Sus scrofa: one gene and its partner. The protein of the gene in region 1 purifies or fractionates together with the protein of each later gene. This does not show direct contact. Links are inferred from orthologs where the notes say so. Each region holds a gene or a part of one and is shown on either strand. Other genes may lie near its edges.

The links. The genes of interacting proteins can lie anywhere in the genome.
Region 2: the proteins of CDK16 (region 1) and CCNYL1 purify together in Homo sapiens (affinity purification with mass spectrometry; 4 studies listed by BioGRID and IntAct, counting the BioPlex papers as one, with this or other methods). This does not show direct contact. The link is inferred for Sus scrofa from reciprocal best matches to the Homo sapiens genes CDK16 and CCNYL1.

The regions. Positions count from the first base shown.
Region 1 is NC_010461.5:41,841,782-41,845,326, forward strand, and holds part of CDK16 (cyclin-dependent kinase 16), read left to right. Parts: exon of another isoform or gene 1-13; coding exon of another isoform or gene 14-55; coding exon 56-263; intron 264-874; coding exon 875-1,008; intron 1,009-1,109; coding exon 1,110-1,235; intron 1,236-1,334; coding exon 1,335-1,391; intron 1,392-1,497; coding exon 1,498-1,612; intron 1,613-2,269; coding exon 2,270-2,364; intron 2,365-2,462; coding exon 2,463-2,525; intron 2,526-2,776; coding exon 2,777-2,900; intron 2,901-3,082; coding exon 3,083-3,203; intron 3,204-3,313; coding exon 3,314-3,411; intron 3,412-3,500; coding exon 3,501-3,545. UniProt on the Homo sapiens protein: Protein kinase that plays a role in vesicle-mediated transport processes and exocytosis. Regulates GH1 release by brain neurons. Phosphorylates NSF, and thereby regulates NSF oligomerization. Required for normal spermatogenesis.
Region 2 is NC_010457.5:110,872,420-110,876,757, reverse strand, and holds the start of CCNYL1 (cyclin-Y-like protein 1), read right to left. Parts: upstream 2,816-4,338; 5' UTR 2,426-2,815; coding exon 2,200-2,425; intron 1-2,199. UniProt on the Homo sapiens protein: Key regulator of Wnt signaling implicated in various biological processes including male fertility, embryonic neurogenesis and cortex development. Activates the cyclin-dependent kinase CDK16, and promotes sperm maturation.

The DNA of each region.
Region 1 (3,545 bases):
GGGGGTCAGGAAAATGCTAATGTGGAACCCATTCCCATCCATTCCCCCTGCTCAGGTCGCCATGGATCGGATGAAGAAGATCAAACGGCAGCTGTCAATGACACTCCGAGGGGGCCGAAGTGTAGACAAGACCAATGGTGCCCCAGAACAGATAGGCCTTGATGAGAGTGGCGGTGGTGGTGGCAGTGACCTTGGAGAGGCCCCCACACGTACCGCTCCTGGGGAACCTCGCTCTGGACGGGGCCCACTCAGCTCTGCACCAGGTAGGTCCACTGACTGTCCCTGTTCCCAGACTGGTCCCCAGCTGTGCTGCCTTCTAGCCAAGTTCCTCTTAGACCTGCGTTACTTTCATTTTCCTTTCACCGTTTTCTCCCCCATCCTCTCAGCACCCTTTCTCTATTGTCCATCCGTGCCCCTTTCCTTGGCCTTGTGCCCAGGCCTAAGGGGGAGGAAGGAAGGGTGCCCTGCCTGCCACAGCTGCCCCATGCCTCCCTCTGCCCTTCTCCTGAGCTCTGTGACAGTCCCCTCAGGCCTCCTGGCGCCTGCCTGCCTTGGGCCTGCCTTCCTGGGGCCTTTGGCTGCCTCTGCTGCTGCCTGCCCACTGGCCGTGGGCCAGCCGCAGTCTCAGCTCGCCGCTGAAACGGGGTGCTCCACTAGGTGACTATTGCCCACCCCACCCACCCCCATTCAACCAGTCTTGACCTGCGTGAACCTCCCTGGGCCTTCCCACCCTCTCCCTGAGGGACGCCAGGCTGCTCTGGGGGCCGTGCGCACACATGTGTGATGAGGGAAGGTGTTACATGGCAGGGGTGGGGGGGTGGTCCTGGGGCTCCTGACCCCACTTGGCCTGCCCTCCACCTGTCCCCACGACCAGAGATTGTACACGAGGACTTGAAGATGGGGTCTGACGGGGAAAGTGACCAGGCTTCAGCCACGTCCTCGGATGAGGTGCAGTCACCAGTGAGGGTGCGCATGCGCAACCATCCCCCACGCAAGATCTCCACCGAGGTGCTTAACCCCCTGTCCGGGCAGTAGTGGGGCTGGAAAAGAGGGTTAGGCCTGGGGAGTTGGAGCTCATGGTCCTCTTTCTCCCCTATCTTTCCTGCTAGGACATCAACAAGCGCCTGTCACTACCAGCCGACATCCGGCTGCCCGAGGGCTACCTTGAGAAGCTGACCCTCAATAGCCCCATCTTCGACAAGCCGCTCAGCCGCCGCCTCCGGCGTGTCAGCCTGGTGAGCATCTGTCTCCTTTTCGTGTCTCCTCCTCCTCCTCCTCCTCTTCTCCCCAGTCCCTTCCCCCGAGCCTACTTCAACCTGCCTCCTTTACCCCAGTCTGAGATCGGCTTTGGGAAACTGGAGACTTACATCAAGCTGGACAAGCTGGGAGAGGTGAGAGACAGCCAGCAGGCCTCTGGTAGGGCGGGGAGGTGAGGGGGTCAGTGAGAAGTCCCGCAGCCTCACAGCTCCTCTCCTGTCACTCTTCCTCACGTCCCAGGGCACCTATGCCACTGTCTACAAAGGCAAAAGCAAGCTCACAGACAACCTCGTGGCACTCAAGGAGATCAGACTGGAACACGAAGAGGGGGCACCTTGCACCGCCATCCGGGAAGGTACAGGCCTCAGGCCATCTGCTCCAGGCTTCCCGGGCTCTCCCCACGGCGTGATGGGGACTGGGGGTTCTGGCCGGGACTTCCCTCCTGAAACTCTGGGCTTCATGAGAAAGTGCCCGTCACCCCAACCCCCCATATCCAAATAATAAATTAGGGAAACCAGGAATCTTGCCATGTGGAAAAGAGGCAGATGCATTGGAAAGCAGGGTGCTTGCTTCAGTTCTGAGAATATCCCTGAAAGTACTCACCAGTTTACTTGACACAGTCGTTTCTAGTTAGAATATCACATGGAATGAATCAGAATTGCATAGAAACTGAGTATGCAAATTCACGTTCACATAAGCTGCAGGCTTGTGTACTAAGGGTTGGAGCAAGGCCCCTTTCCAGAAACCAAAAATGGGTTGTGAAAATCCAGTATCACATAAGCCTGGGGCTGCCATCCCAGGTTCTTGCTCTGCGCTCTTGTCTGAGCCTTAGTGTCCACCTCTGGAACTTGGGGACACACCTTCTTCCTGGTATCAGGTTGGTTGGAGCCGGTGGCTGTGAACCACCGCCCCAAACCGCATGGGGAAAGCAGGAAACCCCGGGCTCTTCCTCGCCTCTGTCCTGAGGGTGGGTCCTGACTCTTCTCCCATTCTGCCTCCATGCTCCCTGCAGTGTCCCTGCTCAAGGACCTCAAACATGCCAATATCGTCACGCTACATGATATTATCCACACGGAGAAGTCCCTCACCCTTGTCTTTGAGTACCTGGTAAGGTTGAGTGGCAGTGTGGCCCAGACGGAGGTGGGGAGGTGGCCCAGAGCCACAGGCTGTGACCCTCTTTCCTCTACCTGCTCTGCTCTCCTCAGGACAAGGACCTGAAGCAGTACCTGGATGACTGTGGGAACGTCATCAACATGCACAACGTGAAAGTGGGTGTGGGGCAGGAAGCAGGGGCACAAGGGGGCCCCCCACTCACCCATTCCACCCCACAAATCTCCCAGAAACAGACTTCCCGTTTGGCCTTTTTGCTGGGAGCCCTTGGAGGGCATTGGGACCCTGTCCTCTTTTGTGAGACAAGGCTCCGGGCACAGTGCCTGTGTTTGGGAGGGGGAGCAGTGCCTGCTGGGGCTCAGGCCGCTGGATACTCTTTGACCTCTGCCTGCCGTTCCTGGGTCCCCAGCTGTTCCTGTTCCAGCTGCTCCGTGGCCTGGCCTACTGCCACCGGCAGAAGGTGCTACACCGAGACCTCAAGCCCCAGAACCTGCTCATAAACGAGAGAGGAGAGCTCAAGCTGGCCGACTTCGGTACCCCTGGCCTCCCCTTTCTGCCCAGTGACCCCAGCCTCCCTCTCCCCCACAGCCACCTTGTCTCGATCCCCTCCAGCCTCTCCAGGCTTTGCTTAGGATGCCCTCAGCCCCAACTGCATTCTCCCCGACACCGGCCAGCACCTCTTCCATTCCAGCTGCCTTTTCTCTCCATCTGCCAGGCCTGGCCCGGGCCAAGTCAATTCCAACGAAGACCTACTCCAATGAGGTGGTAACCCTGTGGTACCGTCCCCCCGACATCCTGCTCGGATCCACGGACTATTCCACTCAGATTGACATGTGGTGAGGACAGGTGGAAGTGTGCCAGGGGCCATGCAGTGAAGGGGAGGTGGCTTGGTTACAGCGGCCAGCCAGCCAACTGCTTCCCTGTTCACTGTGCCTTCCCTGCCCAGGGGTGTGGGCTGTATCTTCTATGAGATGGCCACGGGCCGGCCCCTCTTCCCGGGCTCCACGGTGGAGGAACAGCTGCACTTCATCTTCCGCATCTTAGGTGAGGGGTGGGGGATGAGCCCTAGGAGCTGTGGGGACATCCAGGGAGGCCCCGGGAGATGCTTAGGGTTAACTCTGCTTCCCCGCCAGGAACCCCAACTGAGGAGACGTGGCCGGGCATCCTGTCCAACGAAG
Region 2 (4,338 bases), on another chromosome or scaffold:
AAATTCTTACCCATGAACTCTATTTTTCCAACTTTCCTGATTTAATACTCCTTATTATACACAGTCCTATGCTAAATGCTTAGTACCTTACCTGTCCTTTTCCGAGCTTCTCCTAATACCCTCCCTGTCCAGGGCATTCTCTGCTTCAATTCAAGGTCACCAGACAAAAACTCTTTAAAATATATCAACCCATTTACCTGACTGGTAAAATTTGGCTATTTATGACTTTTATTCTTACCCATTGTAATGAACATTGAGACACAGAATGGAGAGGTAAATGTGGCTTGTGAGTTGTGTACAATAAATGCAAGTGGAATTAAAACTAAAGTCGAGATGGGCCTTTCTTATGGCTAAATTATAAAACAGGTACACTCTAGTTTTTTAAGCACTCCAAGAACTGAATTTGGCTATCTACCACCTCCACATCTGTTTCCCCTGCTCAGTAGCTGTGTCACATAATGATTTTAGAGAAGTCTTGGTTTCTTCACCAGGAATACAGGGAGAATATACACAGGCCCTATTTGTGTGGAAGGGTCAAGTGAAATATACATGAAAATATGTTATGAGTCCTAAAAGAACTATATACAGCTCTAATTTCGGTCTCTCATTTTACAGTAATCAACCACTAACTGATTTGTAACATCACTCAGAGGCTTACCTTATAGCAACAAGCAGAGTAGAAGTTTCACAAGTACTTACATTCTTTGTGTTTAAAAGTTACATTTAATTCATATGATTTGTTCATTCTTTTACAATATCTGAACATTCTGAAAAGGGAGTACTTTCCACTTACAGAGCCATGTCCATTACATGGGTGAATCCACAGGCTTAACTACTCTGTTAAAGAAATTAAGTAAGCCCAACTAAAATTTAAATAGAAGAGCTATTAAGACGTTTCCTCTATGAAATAGCCTCTGGCAATAAGTGGGCTACTAGAGCTTCAACATCTTTATGATACAATGTTTTCTACTTCAAAGAACAGTCTTTATTAAAGAGCCACAGTGTTACTCAGAATTTCTTTTTAACCTAGAGCCATCCCTTTCCAAAATTCTAGGCAGAAATCTCTCCCTTCTCTCCTCCCTGGCAACCGCCCACCCCACCCCCAGAGTCCCTCCCCCCATAGTCATTTAGTCCTAAGAACTTTTACCTGAACATTCTTCCAGTTGAATAGGAATTCTACCGGCAGGAGGGGGGGGGGTGGGGGGGGGGAGAAGAAAGGGAGTCATGGAGACACTTTTCTGCAGAATCTGACATCTTAACTCCCAAATCTTCATATTACAAATTAAAATCTGAATTTGCTTTCTTCTGTTTTGAAACGTTTAACAGTCTGGTGAATCACCTCACCTCTTCTTTAAAACTGGCAACGTGTAAATGAAGTCGGTTAAGGCTGCGGGGCTGAAGACAGTTGTGTCCAAGTGGGAATTTGAAAGTAATCAGAACCCCGTGGGTTCGAATTTGGGTAAAAAAACTATTCTCTGCAGCCGTGGCAGTAACATTTCAAACGTTCGCACTTATTTGAAGCCCCCCGCCCCCAATCATTTTCTTTATTTTCGTGCTCAAATTACAGTTAGAAGGAAGAAAGCAGCTTCTATCAGGGCGACTGAAAACGTTAAAATTCAAATAATTTTACCGAAGAACGCCATATAGACTCTGTCGATCTCTATTTTGAACTTAAATAACAAATTCTGGAATGCGTCTAAATTGTATCAACTGCCTTAACTACCTTACCTGGTTCCTTCACTTAGGTACCATCTGGATAGGTAAGGATAAGGAGGTGGGATGGATACGCCATAGTTGGGTTATTTAAGTTTTCACTGAGAATACAGAGACTATACCAGAAAGTCTTTATAAAGTCCCACCAGGCGTTAATAAAGAGCCGCAAACAGGAAGGGTCGCAGACCGGAGGGTCTCAGACTGGGGTGGGAAATGGGAATGGGGGAAAGAACTGGGCTTTCGGGTAGATTAGAGGAAAAAAGACTGGCTGGACGCGACGGGAAAAGAATAAGGGGTGGGGACGCCAAGCAGAACCAGCCTTCATCCCCGGTGCCCAGCCCTGGGAAAGCCAGCTCCGGGCAGGAAGGAGCCCTAGGCGGCGGCTCCCTCCCGGGGGAACCCTGGGGGCGGCGGAGGCCAGAGGTAAGCCCGAGAACAGATGCAGCCGGCCCCGCGAGGGGCGAGGTGCGCCTACCACCGCCTTACCTTCGGGCATCTCCCGGTCGCTGATGTGCTGCAGGTGGTGGCCCTCGCCGGCTCCGTAATCCAACTCAGCTGGTTCCACGGCAGCCGGCGCGGAAGCTACTGCCACCGCGTCCCCAGCCGCCGCCTCACAGACTTCAGACTCGTAGTCTGGCTCCACCGGCCCCTTGCGCCTGCCCAGCTTGGGGCTGGCATTGGGCGACAAGCAACAGGACAACGTGTTCCCCATGGGGCGCCTCCGCTTCTGGCCGCCACCTCCTCGGCTCGCCCTGCGACTCCGCCGTTCTCAGCAACCGCCCCCTCCCCCAACAATGGCGAGGCCGGCACGGGCAGCCCCGGGCTATGCCGGGGCTGCGCCGCGCATGCAGACGCGGCCTCGGCCCCACTCGCCCGTCCGCCCCGCCGCCGGGCCCGGGGCAGGGCTCCGGCCCCGGCCGCACCCCCGCCGCCGCGCCGCTGCCGCCTCCCCGGAGCCAACTAGTCTGTGAGGGCGGTGACCAGACCGGCTTATTTAAAAGGGGTGGGGACCCGACAAACGCTGAGACGCGCAGCCACTGCCGGGAGAGAGCGCAGCCGGAGCTCCTCCTCCTTCCGCCGCCGCCTCCCGACTGAAAGCCTCGCCTGGCTGGCCCCTGCCAACCGGAACGCGTCCTTTGGTCACCTGGTTACGACGGACCAATCACATCTAGAGTTCCCTCCACGCGCCCGCCTCAAGCGTAGGCACGTGACTCATAATGCCCCGCCCCTGCCCATCGGCGCTCCGCCCCCCGCGAGGCGCGCCCTGAACTCTGGTTTCCATTCATCTCTCACGGCTCGGAGCTTTCCGGTCCTGCGGAAGCGTTGCGGGAGTTTGTTAACTGAAGCTGTCCTGGCTGAGCGGGCTCTATAAAATAGCCCCTTAAGTAAAGAGCCAGTTCGTTAGCAACTTGGTTTCGCTAGGTCTGACGGCTGGCTCATTTGATGTACTGCTCAACGAACTTAGTTACACCCGAATTGTTGACCGTTTTTGTAACTAAATGCTCCTCTGTTCTGCCTTCAGTTTGACCACAGCAACCCCCGGGGCCCTGGTCTTACCTTCAGTAAAAAGCTGTGGCAGTGTCTTGAATAAGACTCGAGGACACGTCACCCCTACACTTCCTCATCGGTAAAATAGGCACCGAACTCGTTCCTTCCACTTCTGAAACGCGGGGATTCAGCAACTCTTTCTCGCCAACGCATAAAGCACGTTTTTCTCATACAAAATTGAGAGTCACAAAGTGGAGTACCACGGTCTTGAATTGATGAAGGAGGTTAACGATAGCTAACATTTGGCGAACACTTAATACGCGCCCGACCCTTTCCAAGTGTGGTGCTCATTAACCCTTGAGAACAAAACCATCAGGAACACAGATTTTCCATAAATTAAATAACGCTCCCAAGGTCACCTAATTGCTCAGGGGTATGGCCAGGATTTGATCCCTGATAGTGTGGATCCCTAAAGGGGTGGGGACGCCAGGCAGAACCAGCCTTCATCCCTGGTGCCCAGCCCTGGGATTGTGATTATCAGGAAATAAAGACAGAAATCAAATTTGGTTGGAAGTGGCACAGCATATCAGGATTTTATTTTATTTTTAAGGAGGGACAGCTTTTTGATGTGGATTTTAAAATGCTTTCCCTTCATTCAGCATTAATTAGCGCTCCCTATGTGCCCGGCATTGTGTTTGGGGAAATAACCCTGCCCTCAGTGAGCTTAGACACCTGAGAAAAACAAAGGCTTTGAAAGTCCAATTGTCTGAGGCCACACTGCTGCAGAATACTTGAACCTGAAATTCAAACCTAGATCTGCCTAACCCCAAAGTAGATGCTGGGGTAAAGAGTTTGAATTGTTTCCCAGAAACATGAGAATCATTGAATGTTGTGAAGGTAAGATGTCCCTATCAGGTGGTTTGTAGTTAGGTCACTCTGGACAATAAGGAGGATTGAAGGACACAACAGGACCAATTGAGAGACTTTATATTCATCTAAAAGAAAAGAAAGGGTTCAGACTGAAAGCAGTGGCAGACTGGAGTGGAAGGAAAGGATATGAGGCCATTTGGGAGACAGAAGTGCTTGATGACTAGATACAGAGGAAGAGAGAGGGAAAGGAGAGGCAAAATTTGCTGC